Ovis aries: one gene and its partner. Each later gene encodes a partner of the first gene's protein in a complex. Links are inferred from orthologs where the notes say so. Each region holds a gene or a part of one and is shown on either strand. Other genes may lie near its edges.

Region 1 (4,247 bases):
AAATAAAATCAATGGGGGAGTCAGAAAGGCTTTCCAGAAGACGTACTGAAGTTTTGCAGAACGGGTAGACCAGAGCTAACTGAGGTGGGGAGAGCACATCTATGCAGAGAGCACACAGACCAAGGCACAGGGGTAGGGGCAATGGGTGTGTGCAGAGCTCATTAAAGGCTGTTATAGCTGCAGAGAAGACGGTTGCGTGTGGTTCAGATCGTGTGGTTAATGGTTGAGAAATGAAGGTAAACATGTAGGCAGGAGCCAGAACTTAGTGTCTTCTATGCTAAATCCTTGCACCAATTTTTGAATAATCATCACTTTTCACATAGAAATAAGAATGATGTTCATTGAGCACTTACTATGTGTCAGTGTCTATTCAAAGTGCTTTACATGTATTATCTCACAATAATTCAGGTAGCTGATACTATTATTATGCCTTATTGTACATGAAAAGAAACTGAGGTGCAGGAAGCTGAAAAACTTGTCCTCAGCCACACAACCGTTAAACTCAGGCAGTCTAACTGTAGAGGCCAAACCATTAACCGTTCTGCCTCTCACTAGTATGTGATGCTTCAAATTTTTAAAATTTTAATTAATGACCAAATAACCAAGGTCACTTGGAGGCTATAGGTTCTGTACAATACTTATTTCTATTTATTCTTATTCCAGACAATGCTCCTTAAATTTTTCTTTATGTTTTCATATCTACAGGCAGTACACAGCATCACTATTTTCTTTTTCAGTGGGTTTTTTTTTTTGCAATTATTGTGTATTTATTCTTTAAGTGAATTTCCACAATAATTTTGTTGAACTAAAACTTGGGATCAGAGGACTTTGGTTAAAAGTGCATTAAATGTATAAATTAAGTTGGAAATTATTCAGTGTTTCCACCCAGAAAGTGCTGTATATTTCTTCCTTCATTTTTTAATTTATAAATACATTTTTTAAATGTTCTTAAAATAAACAGTAGTTAATAAGATTATTCTTAAATGTGTTATAATTTTCATGCATGTATAATATCTTATGTTTTCTAATTCTTTATTATTGGCATATAGGAATGCTGTTTATTTGTCCATAAAATTGCTTTTTCTGATATGTGAAACATAAAATTACCACTCAAAGCCTACAAAAATAGAAAAGGTATACTCTTTACTCAATAATGTCCAAAACATCCAGAAAAGATTTTCATCACTATGAAAGTCGACAAAGAAACTATGGCATTTCCTTCCTTATTTATATATAAGTTATACATTTGAACTATTTGTCATTGATGCATTTCCATATAATTTTTCCAATAATAAGAGAGAAGGCAACATGCTGGTGAGTGCAATAGAGCCACCTCCCTCAAATTACGTTGCTCTCCCTGACCCATCCTAAGTCTCACAGTTCAAGCTAATCATTGACAGAGCTTTACAATCACAAGCTTTTATACTGAAGCGTTGATAAGACAGTCAAGCAGTTAGTGGCAAATGAAGCCAGGCTGTGCAGCATGATCTCCAGGGAATGAATGGATTTTCTTCAGCACCGATGAAAGAAACATACGCTATAGGAAAACAATGTCCAGCGGGGGACTGCCAAGATCTGTCATCCTGTCAGCGTTTATTCTCCTACGAGCTGTTACTGGATTCTCTGGAGACGGAAGAACTATATGGTCTAAAAATCCTAATTTCAGTCCGGTAAATGAAAGTCAGCTGTTTCTCTATGACACTTTTCCTAAAAACTTTTTCTGGGGCGTTGGGACTGGAGCATTTCAAGTGGAAGGAAATTGGAAGGCAGACGGAAAAGGACCTTCTATATGGGATCACTTCATCCAATCACACCTTAAAAATGTCAACACCACGAATAGTTCCAGTGACAGTTACATTTTTCTGGAAAAGGACCTATCAGCCCTGGATTTTATAGGCGTTTCTTTCTATCAATTTTCAATTTCCTGGCCAAGGCTTTTCCCAGGTGGAATAGTATCAGCTGTCAACGTGAAAGGTCTCCAGTATTACAATACTCTTCTCAATGCTCTGGTACTTAGAAACATTGAACCTATAGTTACTTTATATCATTGGGATTTGCCTTTGGCTCTCCAGGAAAAATATGGGGGGTGGAAAAATGAAACCATAATAGATTTCTTCAATGACTATGCCACATACTGTTTCCAGACATTTGGGGACCGTGTCAAATATTGGATTACAATTCACAACCCATATCTAGTCGCTTGGCATGGGTATGGGACTGGTATCCATGCTCCTGGAGAGAAGGGAAATTTAGCAGCTGTCTACACCGTGGGACACAACCTGATCAAGGTACTGTACAGCTGACTTCATAGTATACTTTCAGAATATAAAGAGCAGGAGTTTAAAAGAAACTGTATGAAAATGTATGTTTCATTTAAATAACTTTTTGCTGAAATTAGCTCAACTAATTGTAGTCTAACTCACAAGTTCTATCCTCAGATTTCATACTTAAGGTAGTGCATGTTTTATTACTGTATTAACACAATTATTTTCCTTAAATATTACACTTTTTAAATTAACTATTTTTAAATCTACAGCTATACATCAGAAAGTGAGAATATGAGTTTACTTTCATTCTGTGGAAAGCCAGTCCTTCATAAATTTAATTGTTGAAACCCTTTTTCTGACCATATGCAACCAATTCAGAACTTAATGTTAAGGCATAACCATTTCAAACATGTATTTGTTGTTGATATTGCTATTCTTAGTGATATTTAGCAATAATGAGGTAGATAAATGTTAGCTAATTGATAATACATATTAAATGCAAGAATTGAAATAAATGTATTCCAGTTGATTTTGTGTTACATGGCAGAAAAGATGAGACTATTTGCTCTAGGAGTTAAAATTAAACTAGTAATATAACAACTGGAAAGAAAATGCTCTACTAAGTGTTTTAAAGGAGTATATTTCAAAACCTAGAGTTTTTGTTGGGAAATGCTAAAATGATTAAAAGAATAGTGAAATGTAAGCAAAATAATAGCTAATATTTTTTGAGAGCTTATTATTTACCACAAATGACATTAAGCATATTATATGTATTATCATATTTAATCCTCATAATAACCTTATGAACTAGGTCCTTTATTATCCCCATTTTAAAGATGAGGAAACTGAAGCTTAGTGAGATTAAATAAGTTGCCTAAGGTTACAGAGTAAAATGAGCTGTTGTGACCATGGAATTTATAAATTACAATATTATTAAACACAGAATATCTATATTAAGAATATTTTTAAAAGAGCAATCTTTCAGGAATTTTCACGTTTTGTCTTATATTGAGGGTAATATCTAGAATCAGGCTTCACTTTTTAATCTAAATAGTTTACGTGGAAAAAATAAATTACTCTGGACACCTGCTACATTTTGAAAATGAAAAAAGCTTTACTAGTAGGGTTTCATAATGTGCTAGGAGAAGTAATTTGATGTTTTAATAATCAAATGTTAAATATATAGAAACAGAAAAATGTATAGGAACATAAAATTACTCCATGTCTAAATTTTCACATACAAAAATACCTGTTAACCCTTCTTTCCTTTTTGAACTTTTTGGATCATTGTACATGTACATTGCACTATGTCTCAGTCACACCTGCCCTTGCAGTTCAGTTAACATATTGCACTACAATCTCAAGGTCATTTATGTACCTTTGACTGTACTTGTATACAGAACAAATATTAATGTATGGGTATACTGTGATTTGGCAAATAGACCTCAAAGGGGAGAAAGCATACAGCTATTAACTATGAAGATTATGCATATATATTTTAGAAAAATATTCCTTTTATTTAGTTCTTTAAATTATTAAAATAATACATGCTCATATAAATTGAGATATAAAGTGAAAAAGTTAAATTTATCCCTCCCTCTGCACCTGATAATCCCAAACTCAAGGAAACTACTGTTAGTAGTATCTCATATAGTCTTTATAAAGCTTTCTATGCAAATATACACGTGTGCATATATGCTTATTTAACCTTTTTATAAATAAAAATATTCTAAATTGTTAAAAAGTTTTTGGTCACCTACCTGGAAAAATGTTAACAATTAGAATTATCATGAAGAATATGTTTCAGTGGTTAATTTAAAGCCCTAAAAACTATCTGATAAAAACACACAGAAAAAAAGTTTTAATTAACAAATAGATAATGTTTCCAAACTTATTCTATCAAAGCTATATTTTCAGATATTTTTCATTTTCCTCTAATTTGAAATAAACTCTGTCTGTAACACAAAATTAGATAGTAAG
Region 2 (4,068 bases), on another chromosome or scaffold:
CCCCACATCCTGGAGTTGAGGGGCAGGTGGTTGGAGGAATAATGAGAAAGAACCAGTGTTGAGCAAGGACCCCTCTCTTTCCCCCAGGAGCATTCTCCGGATGTGGTCTTTTTCTGAGCCTCATCAGAAAAGCCATCCGGTTTGTGGGGTCGGGGATGGGGGGGGAGCCTCTTCACTGGGTGGCTCCAGTTTCCCCAACTGGTGCCTCTCCCCCCTTACACGCCCCCCTCTCCGCAAGCAGCGCCCACCACTGCTGCCCTGCCCCTCCCCATCAGGTAAGGAGCTCCCCTGTTCCTGCCCGCCCCCCGCCCCCCGCCCTGCGAACTGCACGCCCAGCCCCTGGAGAAACTCTCAGGGACCCAAGGACAGCACCCACGACGAAAGACACAGCAAAAACAGAGGAGCTTCCCTGCGCTACGCGCCCTGGAAAGTCAGTTTCCCCTTCTGCAGCTTGCAAGCCCACCCTGCCCCACTCCAGGCGCCCTCCTCCCAGGCTCCGGGTCCAGGGACCTCCGCGGGCCGGGCCCGGCCGATACCTGGGCTGAAGCGCCATCTAGCGCTCGCCCGCGCGACCCTATTGTTCCTCCGAGAGCCCAGGTCGCGCCTGGGCAAGCCGGGGGACAAAGTACTGGCGTGGAACGGGGGGCCAGGCAGGAATCTGAAGAACATAAAGCCGGAGAACGTGAGAGGCTCTGAGCTGCAAGGGGAAAATAAATTCCAGTGGACCCCTCTACCCCCGGGGCTTTGAGGGCTGGGATCGTGGCGTGAGCGAGTGGATGTGGATTGTAGGGGAGGGGGCCCCAAAGCCCAGGCGGGGTGTTCCCCACCGGGAGTGAAGGATGCAAAGCTCAGTGTCCCGCGCCCCAGTCTTTGATGTCGGGACCCCGGCTCCGCGCAGCCCCGGCCAGCGCCCGGAGACTAGTGCATTCCCGGGGGAAGGGGGTTGAAGCCAATGGCCTGGGCGCGGGGGTGATGGTGGGCTCCGCCGTCTCCTTCATTTCTTTACACAATCAAACTCGCCCAGACGGGAGCGACCTGGCCTCGCCCCAGCGCCTCCGGGAGGAGCTGCGAAGTTTCCAGCGAAAGAGGGCCTCCTTCTCTTCCAGATCTGGGCGGGGTCACCCGGGCGGGGCCCAGGGAAAGGCTGGGTCGGGGGGCGGGGTGTGAGTGGGTGTGTGCGAGGGGCGGAGGGCTGATGCAATCCCGATAAGGGCTTCGCATCGCGGGCAGACGCGCTATATAAGGTCGCAGGCCGCCAGCCGCCAGCCGCCGCGCCGTCGGAGCTGGAGAGGTGCCCAGGTGCCCAGAGCGTGCAGCGGTCTCCTGTCTCAAGGGCACGGCCACCCCACCTCCGCACGCTCCGTCCCGCAGGGCCTCGGGGCCGCCGCCCAGCCTCCCGCACCCTCACCACCAGATCTGCGCGCAGAGCTCCGAGCCCGAGGGAGGTGCCATGCGGAGCGCTCCGAGCCGGTGCGCCGTGGCCCGCGCCCTGGTGCTGGCCGGCCTCTGGCTGGCCGCAGCCGGGCGCCCCCTGGCCTTCTCGGATGCGGGGCCGCACGTGCACTACGGCTGGGGCGAGTCGGTTCGCCTGCGGCACCTGTATACCGCGGGCCCTCAGGGCCTCTACAGCTGCTTTCTGCGCATCCACTCCGACGGCGCCGTGGACTGCGCGCAGGTCCAGAGCGCGCACAGTGAGTGCCCGCCGGGCCCCCACCCGTCCCAGCGCCCCTTCTTACCTTTGCCCCCTTCTCGCTCCCGGCACCCCGGCTCTTGGCACTTAGCGATCTACTCCCTCCCCGACCCCCCCCCCACCACCTCCGACTGCGGGAGGAGCTGGGGGAGAGGGCACTGGGTGCGTGGACCTACTGCACCGATGCGCTCCCCTCCCCTTCCCCCACTTCGGCTTCCGCGGACCGCTCCCCCACCCCCATTCCGGGGAACTCCAGGTCTTGGCACCTGGGCGTTGCACTCCCATCCCGAGCCTCCAGACAGGGAGAGGGGCTGGGGGCTTGGGGAGGACGGGCCTGTACACCCACCAACCACTTTCAGGAGTTGTGGGCCGCGCGGGTCCCGGCTGCAGTTTTGTGCTGTTTTCCCGCCCAGGTTTGATGGAGATCAGGGCGGTCGCTCTGAGCACCGTGGCCATCAAGGGCGAGCGCAGCGTGCTGTTCCTCTGCATGGACGCCGACGGCAAGATGCAAGGGCTGGTAGGTGTCTCGGTCCGTCTGGACGCGCGGGAGCGCGAGCCTGCGGGCCAGGGGGGCGCGCAGGGCCACGTTCAGTTTCCTTGTTTGCTCTGTCCGGGCCGGTGTGGAACTAGGAGGGGAAGGCGGCGAGGGCCGGATTACTCTTCGGTCCCACTTTCTAATTTGTAAGTTTATGGAGAACGGGTGAGGCCCCGCCTTTGCATTACCCCTAAACTAGAGGCAGGTCCAGTCGGACGGAGGAAGTCGGCGCTTTGATATTAAACGGGGAACCCACCGTGGGCGTTTTCGGCTTCGCCCTGTGCGCGCGTGGCGCTCGCCTTCCCCCCTCTCCTTGCAGTAGTTTTTTTTTTTTTTTTAAGTGGTGGGTGGGGAGGGGGTGGCTGGGGAGGAAAAAAAGAAAAAGGGTGTATCCACAACTTGGATTTTTTTTTTTTTAAAGTCCGAAGAAAAGTTACACTTGGGATTGAAGAGGCTTTTTAAAATTAATTTTTACCCGCTAAAAAATAGATTATTTTGCAGCCGCGTTGGGGTCCTATTTTCGTGGCCGCACTCATCCTGTCGGGCTCACCTGTACGGCAGAGGCCTCTTTGCGTGGCGGTGGGAGGGCAGGCCCAGGTAGCCAGAGACGTCTGGGGGCAGGAAGTGTGCAGATGCTGGCTCTCTGGTCGCCGGAACAAAGGCTGAGAGTTCAAAGGGAACCTGAGCCCCCCGGGCGCGCAGCGGAGGCTGTGTGAGGTCCCGGCCTGGCGAAGGGCCTCAATGCAGCCCTGCTGGGCCGGGGCTCCGATGGAGGGACAGAGGCCAGGGGGCAGCAGGGGGAGGGAAGGGCGCCGGCCCTCCAGGGATGCCCTCCTTTCCGCAGCTCAGATCTCTTTAGTGTCTCAGTGTTTTTTTTTGTGGCTCTGGTGCCCCTTTATTCTGTTTATCCAGAGATAGATAAACCTGCCTCAGGTTTTATGACATCCCGCGTGAAAGGAGGCAAAGAAAGCTGAAACCCAAAGCCACTCCGAGTCCCGGCAGCTGCAACCCATGTGAGGTTTACTTAGGGGTGGTGGGGGCTTCAGCGACAGAGCTACACACACACACACACACACACACACACACACACACACACACACACACACACACCCCCCACAGGGGCAGCTGGGTCTAACCCATCATCATTCTAATCCAGACTGAGGGTCCCTCAACTAAAATCCTGTTCTGCCTCTAGGTCCTGTGGTCACTGTTTAGCAAAACTTGAAGATTAAAAAAAATAAACAATTCCACATCCTCCCAGAAACTTGAAGTCCGTTTCATTCTCTCTTTGGCAAATGAGATGTCAGTTTCTCCTCAAGAACCAGAAGAGTGAAAATAGTCACTCTATTTGATTTTAATTCCCTTGTTTATCAATTTGCATTTCTCCCCTCGGTCTGGTGGCCTTATTCCCCCGCACGGGAGCTGGGCATATTGCTTCATTGGATGCAGGCCTTATCAGGGCCTTATCTAAGCTCACCTGCAGTGAAGCGACCTTTGTAGGCCTGGGCAGAAATGAGACTGGGTGCCTCCCAGGGCAGTTTATGGCCGAGCCCTCTTGGCTCCCCGCCTTTGGCTGTGCTCTTGGGTCTTGAAGACAAACTGACCCTCTACATTTGGGACGCCACCGGCTCACTCTGAATGTTCTGCCTTCCGACTTTGTGGCCACCCACGGGGTGCAGGCTTCCTCCTGGCCTAGGGGGAGGGGGCTGCCTTTATCTCCACGATCCTGGCAGGCTGCCTGGAGGGCAGCTACTGAATAAAGGAGCCAGAGGGACTGAGGTTTCTCTTACCAGAGCTGCAGACAAAAAGGCTCAAGACTACAGTCATTTGGGTCTAAATGGGA

What was found.
Region 2: the proteins of KLB (region 1) and FGF19 are in contact, whole or in part, in a crystal structure (PDB 6NFJ), measured with the Homo sapiens proteins. The link is inferred for Ovis aries from reciprocal best matches to the Homo sapiens genes KLB and FGF19. Residues at the interface, in NP_783864.1 of Homo sapiens: Phe379, Lys380, Val392, Leu394, Trp419, Phe420, Thr421, Asp422, Val425, Thr431, Tyr434, Met435, Asn438, Tyr643, Glu693, Arg696, His743, Asn824, Phe826, Met832, Gln848, Phe849, Leu850, Gln851, Ile853, Leu862, Phe931, Phe942; in NP_005108.1 of Homo sapiens: Leu192, Thr194, Asp195, Ser196, Met197, Pro199, Phe200, Leu202, Val203, Thr204, Ser211, Pro212, Ser213.

The regions. Positions count from the first base shown.
Region 1 is NC_056059.1:59,258,464-59,262,710, forward strand, and holds the start of KLB (beta-klotho), read left to right. Parts: upstream 1-1,447; 5' UTR 1,448-1,550; coding exon 1,551-2,288; intron 2,289-4,247.
Region 2 is NC_056074.1:43,333,373-43,337,440, reverse strand, and holds the start of FGF19 (fibroblast growth factor 19), read left to right. Parts: upstream 1-1,268; 5' UTR 1,269-1,450; coding exon 1,451-1,691; intron 1,692-2,103; coding exon 2,104-2,207; intron 2,208-4,068. UniProt on the Homo sapiens protein: Involved in the suppression of bile acid biosynthesis through down-regulation of CYP7A1 expression, following positive regulation of the JNK and ERK1/2 cascades. Stimulates glucose uptake in adipocytes. Activity requires the presence of KLB and FGFR4.